Arabidopsis thaliana: one gene and its partner. The protein of the gene in region 1 interacts with the protein of each later gene in a biochemical or structural test. Each region holds a gene or a part of one and is shown on either strand. Other genes may lie near its edges. The genes, in order: CEV1 and GH9A1.

Region 1 (12,796 bases):
TTATCGTTTTGTGCTGTCTAGTTTCTCTACTTTCTAGATTATCGTTTTGGCTTTGTGATTCTGTAAAAGTCAACCTTTGTTGTGGTGTCCTATTTCTTTGTAGACTTAATTAGAGGTTGCTTCAATATTTGTTTTCTCTGCACAATCCAATGACTAACGGGATACGATTCACAAAACGAATCAAATCAAATCAAGTTCAATACCATTCGAGTCTTCTTCTTCACAGATTACAAATTCGATTATGCGTTGACTCTTTAATTGAGTCAATGGTTTGGACCACTACATGGTTTGTAAATGTTTATTTCTATTTCAAATCGCTAGCTGTTACCTAACATTCAGGACATGAACAAAAACTATCTTACTAAAAAAAAGTCAAAATTAAAGTTTCAAATGTATAAAAGATAATATTGGAGGTCAACTCCCATTTGACAACATTCATATATAGTTATAAATTGATTTTGTTTTTCTATTTACTGTGTTCCCATGATGTTTCGTGAACACATGAAGTTATGGTATTGAATAGAATGGATTTTCTTTTAGTTTTTGGTTTATTCTACAGAACAAGCTCTTGAAATAACTAAAAAATTCACTAACTAAAAACTTGTGATATATACCATGCTGGTTATATTCGCACAACGATTGCAATCATAATTGGCTACTATAGACGATTTAATTGATAAGAATATTCAATTATTCTACCTATGCTTTGGAGAGTCTATTTCTTTTTACTTGAAAATTTCCGATTATAAATAAAGATAGACACCTCAAAGCAAAAAACTATTCTTTTACACCTGAAATTCTTTAATACATGTCTTTAATTAATAATAGATTCCATATGAAAGAATTAAAGAAAGAAAAAGGGCCCATAGTAACGTTTTCTTTAGCTATCTTTTAAGATTGATAATTGATAAATTTGTTGTATCTAACTAATAAAGTTCGTAGCCAGCGGTCTTGCAAAGTCCTTTCACACACTCACACATGCAATCACATTTACAACTTTAATACTACCATGAAAGCATAAACTAAAACAATCAAATTAAAATATTTGCATGCGCGTGCATCTTTACGCGGTCGATCATATATCGTTACATATGGAGGAAAGTTTACGTAATAGACCTATAATATCAAACTATAACTTGAGATTTTTTTTTATTTACTTTATGTGGATTAGATGAAACTAAGTCTTGTTGAACATGACCAATCCTGAGATAGTCAGATCTTATTATAAATTGTTAAAACCCAAAAAAAAACAAAAATTGTTTGACCAATACTTAAAAGTTTCAACACAAATAGAAATGGAACTGGGAGCATATACATAGACGCAGTATAGAAATCAGACTCGTTCAACTTTGATTTTGGGAATATTACTTCTCTGGTTCAGATTTAGTTTTAAATTTTAGATTTCATATTTCTTCACTGGTTTGGGCGAGAAGAATTTGTTTTTGTGTTCACTAAATTTTTCTGAACAAAAATCATAAATCAAGGACCATAATAATTGAGTCCTTAGTATTTCACATTAACTCCAATCCTTGTATTGAGAGAGTCAACCAAGTTGAGATATTGGAGGATTAGGTTTGTGTTTGGCTTTTGACTTTTTCTCTCTCACTTTTAATTACTTAGGCTTTACGTCACTATTACATAAGCACAAATAAAAACTCCAGACAGAAACACCTGTAGATACCCTAAGTTCAAAAATACTTTTATAAAATCACACAAAATTAAAGCCACATATATAAAAGCATTTCCAAGCTAGAATTTCATATAGGTGCACAAAAAAAAAAAGAAGCTAGAATTTCATATAAATTGCGCTTCTTACTAAAGAAATCTTAAGATTAATGTCCAAGAGTTTGAGAGAGAACATAACTCAGAATAACATAAAAAAACATGACGAGACAAAGAAAGACATAAGACTGTAACGACTAAAGAAATGATAAGAGTATTCAATCGAAACTCACACGACCATGGTTGTTTGATGTTGCTGGTTATTGCCCGAAAGATACCACAAAAGCTGTTTATATCCGCTTTTGTAATGATCCAGAGAGAAACAAAGCTGTCTAATCGCCTCTCGTTTCTCTTCCTCTCCTTGTGATATCGCATTCCTCTGCAACTCTGCATGCTTCTCCATTTCCCAGACCGTAGCTCTCAGTTCCTCCACAGTTTTCTTGGCCTTACTCTGCAGCTCTACTTCAATCTCCAGTTCTTTAACCACAGCTTTCAGTTCCTCAACAGTGTTCTTGGCATTTCCTGATTCAGACACAAGCTCTGTCTGCTTATAGACCAGCTGGTTAAGTTGCTCCTCCATTTGCTGAATTTGGATGTCTCTTGATCTCATCTCTGCTTTTAGATTGTCTACTTCAGCACATACTCCGTCTTTCTCTGCCATTAACATGTCGTACCTCAGCTTGTGCTTGTCGAAATCTTTGTTTAATGCTTCAATATGCTCACCACGTGTGGCCAAGTCTGTCTTCAATGCACTGATTTCAGCTTGCAACTCAACCTCTTTCCTCTGCATCTCCATTTTCTCTGCCTCAGAATGCTTTATCTGATCTACCAGTTTTGTTTTCTCAATAGAGAAATTTTGCTGACAATCACACAACATTTCCCTTAGCTTAGAGATTTCAGAAAATGACACATCTAAACAGTCCCTACTCACCTCATGCTCATTCACTAGATGCTCAAATTTGAAACTTAAGTCTGAAAGCTCAGTTTCCAAATCAACCACCTGTCTTTGCACCTCGAGAACTCGCTTTCTCTCAGTCTCAATAGCTATGTCCCTAATCGCAATTTCTCCTTGTGCGATTTCTCGCTCACCACGTAGATACTCGCCAAACAGAACAACCGATTCTTTTTTCTCGGTCTCCTTTAGTTTCTCAATCTCTTGCTCAAATTCTTGAAGTTTCAAACTCGTAGTCCTAAGCTCTTCTTCACACTGGACATATTTCTTCATCAATTCTTCATAACTCATTTGTTTCTCCGGGGATAAGTCATGGCTATCCATTGACCCTGGTGATACGAGGTGATGGTTAAAAGATGAGTAAAAGGCCTCCGTGTCCGAATCTAAATCGGAATAAGAAGAGTTAGAATCATGATTGCCAGAAACATCAGAACTTCCTTGGTCAAAGTTGGAAGCTACTGTATCAGACTTTGGAGTTACAGGAGGTGAAGATCCATTGTGATCTGAAACTTGACAATTGATATGTCTAATAAGATTTCTACGTTTGAACGGAAACGCACACAACCAAAATAAGACATGAATGAATTATACGGTTATACCTGTTGAGATGTCCACAAAGGAATTCGAATTATGTGGCCACTCATCTGGGACCTCAACTGTTGTAAAATCCATTACACTTAAACAACAAAAAGCGAATCAACTTAAAAATGATCAAGCAAAAAAAAATCAAAGAAACGTAAACATAGAATGATGTAACAGAAAAACCCTAAAAATACAGAAGATATACGAGATATAAAAACTGGTAAGATTTTTATTTACTTTTTTTTTTTTTATACTCCTAAGATTTAGCTATAACTAAACGTATTTATATTTTTTGACCAAAAAAAAAAAAAACGTATTTATATTTATCTCTACAATAATTTCGATTAAAAATATCTAACAAAAAAAAAAGTTGTGATAATAATCAGTGGAAAACTATCATGAAGAGACAAGCTAATGTTCTTTAATTGAAATCTTAGAAAATAAAAAAACTAGGGTTGCGTAAATTTTAAGACTTTCTTATGTCACAGAACTGAACTTTTTTCACTACATGTAAACAGAAATTATAACTCATTTGCAACGGTGAAGAAACATAGACAAAGACCCTCCATAAATCTCAGAAAAACAGAGCAAGTAACTCAGATCATAAGATCTACAAAACACATCAACGGAACAAACAAATATCAAACCCTGAAATCTGATTCACATAGGACCAAATAAACATGAGATTTCACTGACCTTGAAAATTGATATGATCGAGGGAACAAAAGAGCAGATTTACAGGAAAAGTGAAGGAGAAACAAAGGAAGGTTTAAGTAGAGGATTGCTAGGGTACGAGAGTTACGAAGCAGAAGGTGGAAAGGTTTAAAGGGACGACAAAGAGGAGGGAAGATTTGTCGGATAGCGAAGAGAAAGTGGCGCTCTTTGGGATTCAAATGTTTGCCATTTTCTTCTTTTGTCTATCTGACAGTCTGTTCTTTGCTGCACTAGTGGCCACACATCTCCACATGCACCACCAGTTATCAAAGTTTGACCTATTAATTATTGGGTTCGGTTCGATTCAATTTTCTCTCGTAAATAACGTAAACCGAACATATACCAATTTTGTCTGCAAAGTCCAACAAACCCATTTTCTCGATTCTGTTGGGCTTGATGATACTAGAGTTGGACCTTTATTTTTTCAGCCCGCTGGTTTTAGCCTATTTTGATATACTAGTAAGTAAAGCATCACTATCAATATATTTTGATTTATTCATTGGACTAATCCGTTGATTAATTAATATTTTGAAGTTTTATTTTTGTCGGCAAATACTTTTTAAGTTTTATCTGTAAGAAAGTTAGTGACGATGAATATCCTTTACCCCACTACTTGTGATTTGTTGTGTTCTTCACACTTCTATTTTAGTTATATCACTATCAAATATCAATTACTATTTTGATTTAGTCACTAATTCGATGATAATATATTTCTAAGGATATTTTAAAGGTTTATCGGCCGTTTTTTCACTTTTTTTACAGCCACTGTAAAACTGTAACTAGAAAAAAATCGACTGTGGAAGTTGTCGGTGGTGGTGGTGGTTGTTGCTTGGTTGGATTATGATTTGTGACAAATATATTAATATTTTAAAAATCTGGAAGAGTGACGAGTAGAGGAGACAAATAGCTTGCTCTTTGCATCTTCTTAGCCATCCCAAGATTCTCCTCTTCGTCTTCCTTATAAACTATCTCTCTGTAGAGAAGAAAGCTTGGATCCAGATTGAGAGAGATTCAGAGAGTCACATCACCACACTCCATCTTCAGATCTCATGGTAAAGCTTTTAACTCTTCTTACACTCATGATCCATTCTCAGATTTGACTTCCTTTACTCGGATCTCCTCAGATCTAATCGTAGTTTCTGTTTTTGATAATTCCGATCAGATTTGAACTATTCCGACGTTTCGGTGTTGGAAGCAACTAAGTGACAAATGGAATCCGAAGGAGAAACCGCGGTATGCTTTTTTGACTCTTGCTTCATCATTATACTTACCTTTATCGAAATCAGGAATTATATGTACTGAAATTGATTGATTTGGGTGTTGAATTGTGTATTGGAGAGATCTGATTTCAAATTTTCTGTTGAGGTTTCTAATTTTGGCTTCATTGATTCGACTTGATTTGTAGGGAAAGCCGATGAAGAACATTGTTCCGCAGACTTGCCAGATCTGTAGTGACAATGTTGGCAAGACTGTTGATGGAGATCGTTTTGTGGCTTGTGATATTTGTTCATTCCCAGTTTGTCGGCCTTGCTACGAGTATGAGAGGAAAGATGGGAATCAATCTTGTCCTCAGTGCAAAACCAGATACAAGAGGCTCAAAGGTTCTCTTTTGATCCTTCTGAAGTATACTGTCTTCATTGTTCATCGATAGTTTATCAGTATGTTTTGAATTTTGGATCAGATTGGTATTTATAGCAATTTGCTAATTTCTGATTCTAGGTAGTCCTGCTATTCCTGGTGATAAAGACGAGGATGGCTTAGCTGATGAAGGTACTGTTGAGTTCAACTACCCTCAGAAGGAGAAAATTTCAGAGCGGATGCTTGGTTGGCATCTTACTCGTGGGAAGGGAGAGGAAATGGGGGAACCCCAGTATGATAAAGAGGTCTCTCACAATCATCTTCCTCGTCTCACGAGCAGACAAGATGTAAGGCATTGCTGTTCATTCTTCCCTCTTAAGCATTCGCATCCTCACGCAATTTAGTTTTGGAATCTGATTTTGTCATTTGCTTATTTACAGACTTCAGGAGAGTTTTCTGCTGCCTCACCTGAACGCCTCTCTGTATCTTCTACTATCGCTGGGGGAAAGCGCCTTCCCTATTCATCAGATGTCAATCAATCACGTAAATATCCTTTATTTCTAACTCTCTCGCCAACACATATATTTGTACCTAGGCTTCTCTTTTATGTCAAAACTCTAAACAATAAAATCTGTTGTTGTCATTCACGCTGCAGCAAATAGAAGGATTGTGGATCCTGTTGGACTCGGGAATGTAGCTTGGAAGGAGAGAGTTGATGGCTGGAAAATGAAGCAAGAGAAGAATACTGGTCCTGTCAGCACGCAGGCTGCTTCTGAAAGAGGTGGAGTAGATATTGATGCCAGCACAGATATCCTAGCAGATGAGGCTCTGCTGTGAGTTCTTGTTTTGTAATCTTGTTTGTTCTGTCGTGGTGTACCGAGCGTTTTTCCTATTAAGCAATGTCCTGATACTCATTTTCCAATTCTTTATTTATTGTACAGGAATGACGAAGCGAGGCAGCCTCTGTCAAGGAAAGTTTCAATTCCTTCATCACGGATCAATCCTTACAGAATGGTTATTATGCTGCGGCTTGTTATCCTTTGTCTCTTCTTGCATTACCGTATAACAAACCCAGTGCCAAATGCCTTTGCTCTATGGCTGGTCTCTGTGATATGTGAGATCTGGTTTGCCTTATCCTGGATTTTGGATCAGTTTCCCAAGTGGTTTCCTGTGAACCGTGAAACCTACCTCGACAGGCTTGCTTTAAGGTAAGTTCTATTTCCCCATTCTTCTGAAGCAATTACTCAAAGGATTGTTTGCCTATACTGTTTCCCATTTTAATTTGATCATGGTCAATTTTTGGGACAGATATGATCGTGAAGGTGAGCCATCACAGTTAGCTGCTGTTGACATTTTCGTGAGTACTGTTGACCCCTTGAAGGAGCCACCCCTTGTGACAGCCAACACAGTGCTCTCTATTCTGGCTGTTGACTACCCAGTTGACAAGGTGTCCTGTTATGTTTCTGATGATGGTGCTGCTATGTTATCATTTGAATCACTTGCAGAAACATCAGAGTTTGCTCGTAAATGGGTACCATTTTGCAAGAAATATAGCATAGAGCCTCGTGCACCAGAATGGTACTTTGCTGCGAAAATAGATTACTTGAAGGATAAAGTTCAGACATCATTTGTCAAAGATCGTAGAGCTATGAAGGTAAGTTTGTAGTTTTAGTCATCTAGTCACCCTCACTTTGATTTTAGTGTATGCTATATTGACCTTTTATTTTCTTTCAGAGGGAATATGAGGAATTTAAAATCCGAATCAATGCACTTGTTTCCAAAGCCCTAAAATGTCCTGAAGAAGGGTGGGTTATGCAAGATGGCACACCGTGGCCTGGAAATAATACAAGGGACCATCCAGGAATGATCCAGGTAAGAAATTGGTTTTAACTATGGAATCGAGAATGCTCTCTCTTTCTCTCTAGAAGTTCATTATTGAAGTACCATTTGCTGAATGCAGGTCTTCTTAGGGCAAAATGGTGGACTTGATGCAGAGGGCAATGAGCTCCCGCGTTTGGTATATGTTTCTCGAGAAAAGCGACCAGGATTCCAGCACCACAAAAAGGCTGGTGCTATGAATGCACTGGTAAGTTTCTGATCTTGGATTTTTGACTTCTTCATTCTGACCAATTTGTTAGTCTAATCTGGGTACTTTTCAAATGAATAGGTGAGAGTTTCAGCAGTTCTTACCAATGGACCTTTCATCTTGAATCTTGATTGTGATCATTACATAAATAACAGCAAAGCCTTAAGAGAAGCAATGTGCTTCCTGATGGACCCAAACCTCGGGAAGCAAGTTTGTTATGTTCAGTTCCCACAAAGATTTGATGGTATCGATAAGAACGATAGATATGCTAATCGTAATACCGTGTTCTTTGATGTAAGTCACACTTACCTATACTTGCGTCTAATTTTCTTGTTCTTTCAAATTGCTTTTAGACACGAATATACATTAAACTCACAGTTTCTTGAGTTTGTCGTAATTTTTCCATGATATGTTTTCCAGATTAACTTGAGAGGTTTAGATGGGATTCAAGGACCTGTATATGTCGGAACTGGATGTGTTTTCAACAGAACAGCATTATACGGTTATGAACCTCCAATAAAAGTAAAACACAAGAAGCCAAGTCTTTTATCTAAGCTCTGTGGTGGATCAAGAAAGAAGAATTCCAAAGCTAAGAAAGAGTCGGACAAAAAGAAATCAGGCAGGCATACTGACTCAACTGTTCCTGTATTCAACCTCGATGACATAGAAGAGGGAGTTGAAGGTACAACTGTTTTTATTTCTTCTTTGGTTTCCGTTATACCCATATGTTGCTGTTTGAAATATTGATCCAGGGGAGGGGATTATTTATAGTTGACAGTTGTCTAAATAGTTTCCATACTAGGTATCTCATCATGTCTTAACTATTTGGCATTTGTGAAACTTAGGTGCTGGTTTTGATGATGAAAAGGCGCTCTTAATGTCGCAAATGAGCCTGGAGAAGCGATTTGGACAGTCTGCTGTTTTTGTTGCTTCTACCCTAATGGAAAATGGTGGTGTTCCTCCTTCAGCAACTCCAGAAAACCTTCTCAAAGAGGCTATCCATGTCATTAGTTGTGGTTATGAGGATAAGTCAGATTGGGGAATGGAGGTATAATCTCATTTGAACTCCTACATGAATCTGCATTGTTCTGACATATCCACTTTGGCATTCACTTTGTTTATATTTTCCGCTGTCTTTCTTCAGATTGGATGGATCTATGGTTCTGTGACAGAAGATATTCTGACTGGGTTCAAAATGCATGCCCGTGGATGGCGATCCATTTACTGCATGCCTAAGCTTCCAGCTTTCAAGGGTTCTGCTCCTATCAATCTTTCAGATCGTCTGAACCAAGTGCTGAGGTGGGCTTTAGGTTCAGTTGAGATTCTCTTCAGTCGGCATTGTCCTATATGGTATGGTTACAATGGGAGGCTAAAATTTCTTGAGAGGTTTGCGTATGTGAACACCACCATCTACCCTATCACCTCCATTCCTCTTCTCATGTATTGTACATTGCCAGCCGTTTGTCTCTTCACCAACCAGTTTATTATTCCTCAGGTTTGACACCTCTCTCTGTCTATCTATCTCTATCTCTATCTCTATCTCTAGAACAAACCTTAATTACGTTCTGTTTAACTGAAACCATGTTGTGTTTGTCATCTATTTACGGTTCCAAATCCTGATCAGCTGGTTCTATTGTTCCTCTTTTGCAGATTAGTAACATTGCAAGTATATGGTTTCTGTCTCTCTTTCTCTCCATTTTCGCCACGGGTATACTAGAAATGAGGTGGAGTGGCGTAGGCATAGACGAATGGTGGAGAAACGAGCAGTTTTGGGTCATTGGTGGAGTATCCGCTCATTTATTCGCTGTGTTTCAAGGTATCCTCAAAGTCCTTGCCGGTATTGACACAAACTTCACAGTTACCTCAAAAGCTTCAGATGAAGACGGAGACTTTGCTGAGCTCTACTTGTTCAAATGGACAACACTTCTGATTCCGCCAACGACGCTGCTCATTGTAAACTTAGTGGGAGTTGTTGCAGGAGTCTCTTATGCTATCAACAGTGGATACCAATCATGGGGACCACTCTTTGGTAAGTTGTTCTTTGCCTTCTGGGTGATTGTTCACTTGTACCCTTTCCTCAAGGGTTTGATGGGTCGACAGAACCGGACTCCTACCATTGTTGTGGTCTGGTCTGTTCTCTTGGCTTCTATCTTCTCGTTGTTGTGGGTTAGGATTGATCCCTTCACTAGCCGAGTCACTGGCCCGGACATTCTGGAATGTGGAATCAACTGTTGAGAAGCGAGCAAATATTTACCTGTTTTGAGGGTTAAAAAAAACACAGAATTTAAATTATTTTTCATTGTTTTATTTGTTCACTTTTTTACTTTTGTTGTGTGTATCTGTCTGTTCGTTCTTCTGTCTTGGTGTCATAAATTTATGTGTAGAATATATCTTACTCTAGTTACTTTGGAAAGTTATAATTAAAGTGAAAGCGAATATTTTTTTGTTTCTGTAGTTAAAGCAGTGGTTATGATTTTTCAATTTTCATTAGTGAAAGCAGTTACGTTTGATCATAAGCACTAAACTACGATGCAAAGAGAAATTATTTTTAACTGGGATTCAAAAGTAATAAGATAGAAGTAGAATTGATCAAAGAAACTTTTGGTCGGAATGAGGAATCATTCAGAGACATTGGAAGTAGCCTCTGAGGATGTTCTGTTTTGCTGTAACTGCTGAGACTGATCCAATCTCCTCACATCTTCAATCATCCTCGCGACCTCTTCCATCTTTGGCCTCGATTCTGGATTCCTTGCAACACAGGCCAACGCTAGCTGAAGCATCTGAACCATCTCCTCTTCAATGTTCTGAAACTTCAAGAGCTCCACATCGAAAACCTCTGCAGTCCACTCTTCTCTCACAACAGACCGAACCCATCTCGGAAGATCAATGACGACACGCTCATCCTCGAGACCAGGCTGAGTTAAAGGTGTCTTCCCGGTTAGCATTTCGAGAATCACCACACCAAAGCTATAAACGTCTGATCTTTGACTGACTCTCCTCGTCTCAATAACTTCAGGAGCATTGTAGCCAATGGTTCGCGGTGTGTGAGTTGGAAGGTTGAAGAGAGTGACTAAAGATGTGTCGGACAGACATGGCTCAAGGTCTTCAGTGAGAAGTATGTTTGATGATTTGATGTCTCCGTGAACGAATTTTAAGGAGTGAAGGTAAGAGATTGCTTTTGAAGTCCCTGTCGCGATCTTCATCCGCGTTTCCCAGTCGACTCCTCTGTCTCCTCTGTTTCCTGTCCAAAAAATCCAAAAAGGAACAATTTTTCGTGACCCACACACAAGCTTTACATTACCAAAAAAGTTAGGGTTTGGTCTCTTTATGACTCACCGTGCATGATCCCGAACAAGCTTCCTTTCGTCATGTACTTGTAGACCAATAGCTTCTCGTCTTTCGAATAGTAATAAGCGAGGAGTGGTACGAAATTAGAATGCTGGTTAATCTTCCCAACTATCTCCATTTGCTGTTCAAACTCTTTCTTGCTCGCCACGACTTCTCTTAAACGTTTCACCACCACTGCGGTTGTGTCCTCAAGCACGGCCTTGTAGGCCGTTCCGAAACTCCCTTTACCAAGAACTTCAGCAGAAGCTTTCAAGAGATCCTCAAGATCGAAATTATGATTGCATCTTTCGAAGAAGAAGAGCTTGTTCTTCTCTGGATCTTGAACTCCGCTCCCGAAATCCTGCGGTTTCTTGCTATTCACTCCCCCCATCTGCGTTCGCACTCCTTCACCGCCTCCTTCTTCTTTCTTCGTCTTCTTCACCAGACAAACCAAGAAAACAATCCCAAGGAAAAGAACGGCCACAGAGCATCCGACTACAATGGCGATTATATAAGCTTTACTCTGTCTCCTCCGGACAGGATGGAGATTCTCTGTCAACGGTCTAGGCAAATTTGAAGACGGAGAGATGGCTCCTCCGGAACATGCATTCAGAGGTGGACCACATAGTAATGAGTTTCCGATGAAAGAATATTCCGGTGACTTCTTGAGATGCTCAGGGATGGGTCCACTTAAGTTGTTATAGCTCAAATTTACAACTTTTACACTCGGGAGATCAAGAGAATCAATGGGACCATCAAAAGAGTTGTTTTGAAGGTACAATACAGTGATCTGAGACAAGTTCCGGAGACCGGAAGGAATGTTACCAGATAAAGAGTTATAAGACAAGTCCAAGACAACAAGCTGCTTGGAGATCGACGGCAAAGAATTAGTGGTGAGTTCGCCGGAGAAGTTGTTGTGTTGGAGATAAAGGTATTCAAGAGAAGGGAGTGAGAGAATATCAGAAGGTAAAGTTCCAAAGAGAGAGTTGGATCTGAGGCTAAGGACTTTGAGAGCGTCTAGTTTGCCTAATGTGGCAGGAGGGATTGAGCCGTAGAGGCCAACTCCTGGAAGACGGACAGCTACAACGCGGCTGGTGGGGTTGGATTCATCACAAGTAATGCCGATCCATGAAGAGCAGAGAGAGAGGTTCTTGTTCCAGTTGAGTTTTGGTGGATGTGGGACTGATGCTGCAAAGTTGAGAAGGGCTTGTTCGTCTGATGCTAAATCGGCTGAAACCAAAACCGCGGTTGCGGCGAGTAAGAGGAAGAAGAAGGAAGCAGCAACGAAGGCAGTGTGAGAAGAATTCATGGTTGAGCTATTTGGTGACTCACACCATGATCTGAGAAAGAGAGAAAATTGAGTTTCCTATGAAAGTTTTGTTCTTAGTGTTTGTTTTCATGTGGGTAAAGAGAGTCAAAAAGAAGAGGTGAGCTCAAATAAGATAAAAAACAATGATTAGTTGGTTTGAATCCATTGTTAAGTAAACATAATGGGTTGTTTTTAATATAACAAAAAGTGGATTCAAATTCAAATAACTATGTAAAGGAAAATAAAAAGCAAGACACCGTAAAGAAAGGAGGGAAAGAAAGCAAAAGCATCCCATTTTTTGCTTCTTTCATTTGTTCTTTAAGAGACAAAACACACTACAGATTAAAGGAATATTTTGCTTTTTCTTTTCTTTGCATTATACAGCATGCAAATCAAGGAAAAAGGTAGTGATCGATTTCTTCAAGTAATTCAACAATAATGTATCAAAATTAACAGAAAAAAATAACCAAATGATCTGTCTCGTGTTGTCATTTTATTGGTCATATTGACAGAATCCGATCCTGCA
Region 2 (10,401 bases), about 19 Mb from region 1:
TGTAATAATATCCCCAATTGCATTCTTTTGGTTGTATCAATTTTTGTTCTTGCATAAATGTGTGTGTCATGATGATTGTGAAGGAAGAAGATATCGAAATTCCCGAGGTTTAGGCTATGGACATTCCCTGTTCTTGTGGATGGACCATTTGGAGTTGTTTCTGCAGCTGAGTTTCTTGGAATTATGGTCTTCTCTGTTTTTTTCCTTTGGTCTATCTATGCTTATACCTTGAGGAATCTTGACCTTCTTGAACGCTTCCACGTCCTTCCCAAGAATCGAAGGTTCTTAAAACTCTTCCTTTTTTTTTCCCATCTTTGTCTTTTTCCTTCTCATTCCAATCATTAGTTTTGTGTGTGTGTATTTTCAGTATTCTTCTGTTGGAGGTAACGGGTCTGCGTTTAGGAATGATTGGATTGTTGTGTATGGTTTTTTTGTTTCTTCCAATCTCGAGAGGTTCCATTCTTCTCCGTCTTATCGATATCCCTTTTGAACATGCTACAAGATATCATGTTTGGCTTGGTCATATCACCATGGCTTTCTTCTCCTTACATGGCCTCTGTTATGTTGTTGGATGGATCATTCAAGGTCAACTTTTAGAGCTTGTAAGATCCTACAACATCATTGAATCTTGACATAATAGTATAGCCTAGTTTATCTACTATAGTATAGTGTCGATCATCGGTTCAAGATAGGTCTATACTCTATAAGTCACAATTTTATCTTCTTATTTTCTATTGTAAAGTTTCATCATCATCAACTACTTACTCCTCTCAGATATTTTCATGGAATGCTATCGGAATTGCTATCTTACCCGGAGTTATCAGTCTAGTGGCGGGTTTACTGATGTGGGTCACATCGCTTCACACCGTGAGAAAGAATTACTTTGAGCTCTTCTTCTACACACATCAACTATACATCGTCTTTATTGTGTTCTTGGCACTTCATGTTGGTGATTACATGTTTAGTATAGTTGCTGGAGGAATATTTCTTTTCATTCTAGACCGCTTCTTGAGGTTCTGCCAATCAAGAAGGACTGTTGATGTAATCTCTGCAAAGAGTTTACCTTGTGGAACTCTTGAACTAGTCCTTTCAAAACCACCAAGTAACAACTCTGTTTATTCTCTGTTTTCTACCTCTAATCTAAAACATTTACTGACTTTTTTCTTCTTCAATACCGCAAAAATCAGATATGCGATACAATGCGCTTAGCTTTATCTTTCTTCAAGTGAGGGAACTATCTTGGCTACAATGGCATCCATTTAGTGTTTCTTCAAGCCCTCTAGATGGGAACCATCATGTTGCGGTTCTCATAAAGGTTCTTGGTGGATGGACTGCAAAGCTTAGAGACCAGTTGTCAAATCTATACGAGGCAGAGAACCAAGATCAGCTCATTTCTCCTCAGTCATATCCTAAAATCACAACTTGTGTGGAGGGACCTTATGGCCATGAATCTCCATACCATTTAGCGTAATGCATTTCGTCTACTTGAAATTTTTTCAATGCCATAAGCTTTAGCTTAACTCAAGAAAGATTTATTGCGGGTGCAGGTATGAGAACCTGGTCTTAGTAGCAGGAGGAATCGGGATTACGCCTTTTTTCGCCATCTTAAGCGATATCCTACACCGTAAAAGAGATGGGAAAGCTTGTTTACCTAGTAAGGTTTTAGTTGTATGGGCCATTAAAAACTCAGACGAGCTCTCTCTGCTCTCAGCAATTGACATACCTTCCATTTGCCCTTTCTTCTCTAAGAAACTAAACCTTGAGATTCACATATATATCACTCGACAATCCGAGCCTCGCTTGGTACGTCTTAAATAAGTCTTTTGGGAGCTGCAATAGGCCTTACTAAGCTTGTTGAACTCTTTAATGTTTCATGGTTATACAGGAAGATGGGATGGTTCACAAGGTGGTGCATCCTTCTGTCAAGCTACCACGGACCAACGGATGTTCTATGTCGGTACTAGTTGGTACAGGGGATAACATATGGTCTGGACTCTATCTAATTATATCCACCATTGGATTTATTTCAATGATCACATTGTTGGACATCTTTTACATAAAAAGATACAACATAACAACGTGGTGGTACAAGGGACTTCTATTTGTTGGTTGTATGGTTGCAAGTGTCTTGATTTTTGGAGGTCTTGTGGTTGTTTTCTGGCATCGCTGGGAACACAAAACCGGTGAAGTGGAAGCAAATGGCAACGACAAGGTAGATTTGAATGGAGAAGAAACCCATAATCCATCTGCAGCAGAGCTTAAGGGCTTGGCAATAGAAGAAGATGTCCAGAATTACACCACTATTCGTTATGGCACCAGACCGGCCTTTAGAGGTATACACTACAAAATTAGCGGTGTCAAGTCCAGTTATCTCGTTTTTTTATTTATAAAATTATAGAAACTGAAATCATTCGGAACGGTTTGACACGGTTTCGTTCGGTTCTTGAATCCGACTTTTGGTGTAGATATTTGGCTCGATTCGGTTAAGTTAAATCTTTGATTGGTTCATGTAATATTTTTATTTTGTAATTGCAGAGATATTTGAGTCATTGAATGGGAAATGGGGGAGTGTGGATGTTGGAGTGATAGTATGCGGTCCAGCGACTCTTCAGACGACCGTAGCCAAAGAAATACGGTCACATAGCATCTGGCGATCGGCGAATCATCCTCTTTTCCACTTCAACAGCCACAGTTTCGATCTCTAACGATGCTTTCAAGGCCAAAGAACATTATGGAAGGAAATTCGAAGACAAATTGATGCATATATTTTAGGTAATCTCTGTCAGTATGTACTATGGAAACAGCTATGGTTGATATGTGTATGTTTATCTTTCAGTTTTCGATGTATAAAGTAGAAATCAAATGTATGAGCATCTATGGTTTCTAGTTCTACACTTGTTGGTGTTTCTACATTGGACATTTAATATTAATTAAATGCAAGCTGATAAGTCCTATAATTACATAGCTGCCCATATATTTTCGGAATTTTTTAAAGTAGAGATATATTCATATATATATGAGGGATTAGATTCTATAATTACGAATGTATTTAATTTCAAATTAAAAGTTAGATTCTCATAATTCTCCTTACTTACTCTGTGAGGGATTAGAGTCGTAAAAATGACCACAAGATGTAATTTTTTTTTAGGTCATTGATCTACCATCAATTTGTCGGACACACTTATCTTATAAGTTTTAAATTTTAACAAATGTAAGTGAAATTTTGTGGTAGACTATCATTTTCAAGTAGAAGTAGAATTTAAGTAACCTTCCTTGTTATAATTTTTTTTTAAAAATTATGTCATTACTTAGAGCCCACCAGAAATGATGACGTGTAAAACACCATAATCATAAAGGATAAAATAAAATTATCATCCCACCGACAGTTTATTAGCGGAGATGTCTTTTTCCATCCACCCGACATTAGCCCATTGCTTTACTAGTAAACAAAGTATATGCAATTTTTTGTTAGAAAAAACGGTGCATAAAAAATAATATTTTAATGTCTCCGACAAATTTTAATTGTATGAAAAATAAATACACAAGATTACAAGTTGGCCAAAACGCTCAATCATAGTTGGCCAAAAATATACTATTCCAAAATTAGAGTTAGCTGTAACGTAACATGTACAAATAAACCAAACAAAACATATAATAACAAAATAATTGAAGTGAGTTTTAAAAAGGAAAAAAAAAAAAGAGTAAAAAACCAAAACCAGATCTCTCAAAGAGTCTTTGTACATTATTGACTAGAGAGAGCTTTTTAGCTTCACATTTCTTCACTTCCACACACTTTTACTTCTTTCTCTCTTCTCTTCTCTTCTCCAGATCTGATCCCAAACCTTTGATTCATTGTTGTTGTTCTCTGCTGCTTTATCAGAGAGCATCATCATGTACGGAAGAGATCCATGGGGAGGTCCATTGGAGATAAACACTGCAGATTCCGCCACCGACGATGATCGTAGTCGGAATTTAAACGATTTGGATCGTGCGGCTCTTTCACGTCCACTAGATGAGACGCAGCAGAGTTGGTTACTTGGTCCAACGGAGCAGAAGAAGAAGAAGTACGTCGATCTCGGTTGTATTATCGTTAGCCGCAAGATCTTCGTCTGGACTGTTGGTACTCTTGTTGCCGCCGCGTTACTCGCCGGATTCATTACCTTGATCGTTAAAACTGTGCCGCGTCATCATCCTAAGACTCCGCCGCCGGATAATTATACTATAGCTCTACACAAAGCTCTTAAGTTCTTCAATGCTCAGAAATGTAAGTGTAGAATCTACTTAGATCTGATAAAATTTAGATATAGAGTTTTAGATCTAAGTCTGATTTTGATTGTTGTAGCTGGGAAATTGCCAAAGCATAATAACGTGTCATGGAGAGGTAATTCTGGGCTTCAAGATGGGAAAGGTGAAACAGGAAGCTTCTATAAAGATTTGGTGGGAGGTTATTATGATGCTGGTGATGCTATCAAGTTCAATTTCCCCATGGCTTATGCTATGACTATGTTGAGCTGGAGTGTTATTGAATATAGTGCTAAATACGAAGCTGCTGGTGAGCTCACTCATGTTAAGGAGCTTATCAAATGGGGAACTGATTACTTTCTCAAGACTTTCAATAGTACTGCTGATTCCATTGATGATCTTGTGTCACAGGTACTTGTTTATGACCTTCGTAGGAGATCTTTCATATTGAGTTGTTTGTTCACTCGTTACATGTTTAATGTAGGTTGGATCAGGGAATACTGATGATGGAAATACAGATCCTAATGACCATTACTGTTGGATGCGACCTGAGGATATGGACTATAAAAGGCCCGTGACTACTTGTAATGGTGGATGTTCGGATCTCGCTGCAGAGATGGCAGCTGCTCTGGCTTCAGCATCTATTGTATTCAAGGATAACAAGGAATATTCTAAAAAGCTTGTCCATGGTGCTAAGGTGGTGTATCAGTTTGGAAGGACGAGGAGAGGGAGATATAGTGCAGGCACTGCGGAATCTAGCAAGTTCTATAATTCAAGTATGTATTGGGATGAGTTCATTTGGGGTGGTGCTTGGATGTATTATGCTACCGGAAATGTAACGTATCTCAATCTAATCACCCAACCTACTATGGCCAAGCATGCTGGTGCCTTCTGGGGTGGCCCTTACTATGGTGTATTTAGCTGGGACAACAAGCTTGCTGGTGCTCAGGTCAGTCCACACATAACAACCTGCTGTGTTTATGTTTCTTAGATATTCATGTCTTCTTGATCATTTGCCTTAACCATACTACTCTTGACTCTTTTGAATCCCTTTTGCGATTTTAGTTGCTGTTGAGCCGGTTGAGGTTGTTTCTGAGTCCTGGATATCCATATGAAGAAATTCTAAGGACCTTCCACAATCAGACCAGCATAGTCATGTGCTCATACTTGCCTATTTTCAACAAATTTAACAGAACCAATGGTTAGTTACCTTCCAGCTTTAATGTCTGCCTCTAATAAAACTCCAACTGTGGGGCTTGTTCTTGTTTCAGATATCTAAAATGAAATCTTTGGTATGTGCAGGAGGTTTAATAGAGTTGAATCATGGAGCTCCACAGCCGCTGCAATATTCTGTAAATGCAGCTTTCTTAGCGACTCTATACAGTGATTATCTGGATGCTGCTGATACTCCTGGATGGTACTGTGGACCTAATTTCTATTCGACAAGTGTGCTACGTGACTTTGCTAGATCCCAGGTATTGCTTCTTTTCCTTTACTCTTTACAGAAATGGTAATCTCAGATATAGTAATGGATAAGATCCAAAAATGACACTTTTAACCAAGATTGTACGAAGATCTTTTTAAACTCCATTTTTTATTTTGACATCTAAATTGGATTTAACTCGGCCTTGCTGTATTTTGGCAGATTGATTATATACTGGGTAAAAACCCTCGGAAAATGAGTTATGTCGTTGGTTTTGGCACAAAATACCCAAGACATGTGCATCACAGAGGAGCTTCGATACCCAAGAACAAAGTCAAGTATAACTGCAAAGGAGGATGGAAATGGAGAGACAGCAAGAAACCAAACCCAAACACGATTGAAGGAGCCATGGTTGCTGGTCCTGACAAGCGCGACGGGTACCGTGATGTCCGTATGAACTACAACTACACTGAACCGACTCTTGCAGGCAATGCTGGTCTAGTCGCAGCTCTTGTGGCATTATCGGGTGAAGAAGAAGCCACCGGTAAGATAGACAAAAACACTATTTTCTCAGCTGTTCCTCCTTTGTTCCCTACTCCACCACCTCCACCAGCACCATGGAAACCTTGAGAAAGCTAGACTTGTGTGATTCTGTCGCTGCTGCCAAAAAAAATGAATGAGGTAAGAAGGATTTGGGTGTGAGACCAGAAGATTAGAAGCTAAACACAAGTCAGCCATAACCAAACTACTAAGGATTTCATTTGGCTTTACTAGATACAAACACGGGGTGGGTTACTTTACCACAAGCATTGTCTTTCTTTTCTTTTTTTGGGTTGCTGTTTTGTTCTTGTGAGATATCATATATATCTATGCGTTTTACTCTGTATATGTTTGATACCAAACTTGTATTCTTTGATAAACAATTTAATGAACTGTATTAAACTTTTAACTATGTTTTATTGTGCAAGTGTGAGATCAACCTGGAATAACAACTGTAGTCTACTAAAATACGTGATTCTAGCATGCATTTACTCATTTAATGGATATAAACGATGATGCAGAAAGAATATTGCAGTAAAGAACGGAATTACATATGGCATTCTTTATACATGATGAAGTTGTATTCACAGAGATCATGGAGAAACCCAAATTAAACTGTTATCACAGTACACAGGCGAGATGTGTTCGAGAAGGCGTCATCGTCAATCAAACGAGCTTCGATATTACATGACATGACGCCCAAAAGGCCTTTGATGCAACCCTCAGGATCACGGGGTTTTGATAGATCCTGTCGGTGAAATGAACAAAATAAAAATGCTTGGTGAGAACGATAAACAATGGGACTATTAGATTTTGCAATGTAGAAGATGACTAGATGATATTATACCCTATAACAGTTGCGCTCCATGACGCTACGTTGTAAGCAACCTTACTTCCATCCCAGGCTTTCCGAAGTTTCCCCTTTCTATTCTTCACTGAGAACATCCTGCTAAGTGCTACATTACAATTCAAACACTAATGTTACAGTTTTACTACTAATCTGATATGCCACCACTGATCAACTTCACACATAATCAACATCAAAGAAAATAACTTGGCGACTTAATGGTCTTTGTTTGTGTCAGCGCAATAACAAGCTTCCTAGTTGAGTTTTAAGATTGGAACCGGTAAACTCTATTTCTTACTGAATTGTAGAACACATATCTAACCACAGAATAATCTATGGATGAATCCTTGAGCCTCCCCTACTTTCCTATGCCCTCTCAAACCCCAAAACCGATTCCCAAGAACAATCAATGCCCTTTACCAGTCTGTCCAATGCCGTATTTCCTCTAAAGATCTATCTGTTCTGAATTTGAGTGTTAGCAACAGTGACGTGGCTATTATGTTACAGCCAACTATTATGTCTACTTATCATTGAGATACACAGCATTTGAAGGTTGACAGAAGAGTCGAGAATACCTTTCTGAAGCTGCTCAGGAGTCAAGTCCTGCACAATGATGGCAACTTGTATAAACTCAAATGAAAGGCTGATATACAATGAACAAATTATAACGAAAGTTAAGACTTTAGATACCTTTGTCTGCTTAAGTGATTGTAAATAAGTAGCCATGAAACATGCAATGCCCTCTGCTATATCTTCTTCTCTAACAAGGACATAATCTTCTTCCCTTTGAGCCATGGTTTCATCATCCCAAAGATCATCTTCACTAACTACATCCCAAGAGCTACTATCTTCTAAAACACCAGAAATCACAATCATCTATACAACCAATGAGCAAACAGGCTTAAAAAAAACATTATAGTCCTCACCAGCAAGATGTTGCGGCGCTGAAACCTGGGCTGACTCAATCTTTTCAAGGAAGTCATCACATTCAACCCTGGATTTGATGAGATCATATAACTGAAACAAGGAAGAAGAAAGTCATGACATTATTGTATCATTACAAACATATGACGCATCATTATAAAATGTTGATGTATACACATTCACCAAAATTCAACGCACACTTATTTGATAAACAAAAAGTTCCGAACTTTAAAGCTTGAAGCAAATTTTCCTCACAATTCCTCTTCAGAGAGATGCATATACTTACTTCATCAGCTTCAGGATCTTCTCGATCGGAAGAAGAAACTTCTCCCCTGCTCTCTTGTGACCCACTTCCCTCGCCGGTGCTTTTATCATCTTCATCGTCTTCAGAACTGACTTCGGCTAAGTTTAATAACTCGAGGGCTCTCTGGCAATCATTGAGCAAAGCTTGCAAAGTTTTCCGCTTGACACGAATATTATCCTTATCGATTCGTTTTCCTTTGCGCTCGCTATTGTTATCCATGGTATTGGGTATTACCCAATCCTCAGAGAGGATACAATCGAAGCTCTTGCGGCATAGAATCCTTTGAAGAACAAGATCTGAGAAGACGACGACTGATCGATCGTTGTTGTCGCGCAAATTCTCTTCCTTTGTTTTGTTTTGTTTTGTTTTTCACGTTATAAAAAAAAAATGGAGTTTTGTTTTATTATGTGTGAGCTGTGACGTGAAACTAATTGGTTTTTAAAACAAGATTTTTGACATTTGGTTGTTCTTTCTTCTACGAATTGCTATGCTATTAAAAAAAGCTTCACAAAACTATTACTATAGTATAATCTTTTTGGACAGAGACCATAATTGAGAAAGCAGAAGAAATAATAACACTTGTTTTCTTGTCTTATCGAATAAATTGGGTCGGGCTTTGAGATTTTTATCTTTTTGTTTCGTGGGTTGGGTTTGTTGAGAGACATCTACATGGGTTTGGAACTTTGGAGGCTTGAGGTGAATTTTTGGATTTTTTTTTTGAAGGACCAACTATGATTATATTCATTAATATTCCCCAATCAATTTGATCATTATGGATTACACGTATTAAGTCATCCTTATTTAATTTTGATCATTTAGTTTACTTTAGATTTTCATTCTGAATTACCATTTGATTGAATTCTTCTTACCATTCGTTTCGGATTCATTTTGATATGAATAGGGGTTGAATTCTTATTTGTAACACTCATCCAACAATTTTCGATAACAAGAGCATTTATCCGAACGACTATCTTGCATCCTCGACTTATTTAGAAGAGTTATCATTGATATTTTATTCCACTCTTTTGCGCTTTTTTTACATTCCAGTAGTTTTAATCTCTAAGGTTTAATTATATATCTGATGATAGTACTAGACTTCGTTTTCATAAATTTACCTTCGTGGACTATGTTCCCCCCGGTTGGGATAATCGGAATTAATCATTTTTGGTGCTATTCTAATTGAAACATATTTAGTAGATACTTGATAGAGTCAAATTAAAATATATACTTATTATTATTTTATATGGCTGATGTCAAAAAAGGAAAGGAAAATGGACATCCAAAAAGAAAAGGTTGTCGAATTTAGTTCACGTTTCTTTCTCCTTTCCTGAAGTTTCAAACCCAAACCCCCATGTAAAAAAAGCGAGAGGGCACTGAAAAGACAAGTGGGTATTGAATGTGTTTATATATATAGATATGTGTGTTTTTGCAGACATTGCAGTTGTATAGTCTTGAAACTTCTGGATATATGAGAGAGACCAGGGACATGAATCCAAACATCAAGACACATTCAGACAAAGCCAAACAGTATCCCATCAATGCTTCACGACCACGTATATGCATAGTTATTGTCTTTTTTTGACCACGTATCTGGATAGTTATTGTCTTTTTTTGAACTTATAAACACAAAAACAAATTCGCGCTCTCTCACGGAGTAGTCATACTTGCATCTTATTAACATGTTTATCCTTTTGGTTAAGTCTATGACATTTTTTTAATAAATACATACGAGTAATTGGAAAGAAAAGCAATTGTGCAAACCTGTGATATGACGAACGATTCGTACATTTTTTACTTTTTGTATTTAACTGTTATGGGAACAAAAAGTATATGGTCAATGCCGCCAAAATTGTAAGGTTGATGGTGTAGTAGAGGATAAAGTAGCCCGCTTTCTTGAGAAGCAGTCAAATATGTGGTGTGGAAGACAAGAATAGCCAGCTTTCTTAAACGTTATAGCTAATTGCTACGTATTAATTATACCACACTTTGAAGATCCAATAAAGAAGCATAATTGTACAATAAGAGTATTAAAATGAAAACAATCATTAGAGATAAATATTTAAATTTCTCCAGAATATGATTGAAGACACTTGGAAGCATATTTATATGAGTCAAATCAAA

Evidence for each region.
Region 2: the proteins of CEV1 (region 1) and GH9A1 form a complex in vitro, tested with the Arabidopsis thaliana proteins (one study listed by BioGRID).

The regions. Positions count from the first base shown.
Region 1 is NC_003076.8:1,527,474-1,540,269, reverse strand, and holds CEV1 (Cellulose synthase family protein), read left to right. Parts: upstream 1-4,711; 5' UTR 4,712-5,022; intron 5,023-5,132; 5' UTR 5,133-5,179; coding exon 5,180-5,203; intron 5,204-5,375; coding exon 5,376-5,571; intron 5,572-5,689; coding exon 5,690-5,895; intron 5,896-5,988; coding exon 5,989-6,091; intron 6,092-6,203; coding exon 6,204-6,381; intron 6,382-6,489; coding exon 6,490-6,756; intron 6,757-6,856; coding exon 6,857-7,202; intron 7,203-7,282; coding exon 7,283-7,420; intron 7,421-7,508; coding exon 7,509-7,634; intron 7,635-7,715; coding exon 7,716-7,928; intron 7,929-8,054; coding exon 8,055-8,316; intron 8,317-8,479; coding exon 8,480-8,682; intron 8,683-8,778; coding exon 8,779-9,129; intron 9,130-9,284; coding exon 9,285-9,869; 3' UTR 9,870-10,138; downstream 10,139-12,796. Other genes in the region: AT5G05180 (myosin heavy chain, striated protein), read right to left, coding at 1,952-3,177, 3,274-3,346; RUL1 (Leucine-rich repeat protein kinase family protein), read right to left, coding at 10,253-10,875, 10,971-12,270. UniProt on the Arabidopsis thaliana protein: Catalytic subunit of cellulose synthase terminal complexes ('rosettes'), required for beta-1,4-glucan microfibril crystallization, a major mechanism of the cell wall formation. Involved in the primary cell wall formation, especially in roots.
Region 2 is NC_003076.8:20,193,659-20,204,059, reverse strand, and holds GH9A1 (glycosyl hydrolase 9A1), read left to right. Parts: upstream 1-3,591; 5' UTR 3,592-3,891; coding exon 3,892-4,264; intron 4,265-4,342; coding exon 4,343-4,653; intron 4,654-4,726; coding exon 4,727-5,191; intron 5,192-5,307; coding exon 5,308-5,443; intron 5,444-5,544; coding exon 5,545-5,717; intron 5,718-5,887; coding exon 5,888-6,295; 3' UTR 6,296-6,669; downstream 6,670-10,401. Other genes in the region: FRO6 (ferric reduction oxidase 6), read left to right, coding at 84-281, 368-602, 775-1,102, 1,188-1,467, 1,548-1,803, 1,886-2,333, 2,536-2,705; AT5G49710 (RING finger protein), read right to left, coding at 6,872-6,953, 7,053-7,161, 7,628-7,655, 7,743-7,903, 7,979-8,069, 8,263-8,499. UniProt on the Arabidopsis thaliana protein: Required for cellulose microfibril formation. Involved in cell wall assembly during cell elongation and cell plate maturation in cytokinesis. Required for secondary cell wall formation in the developing xylem.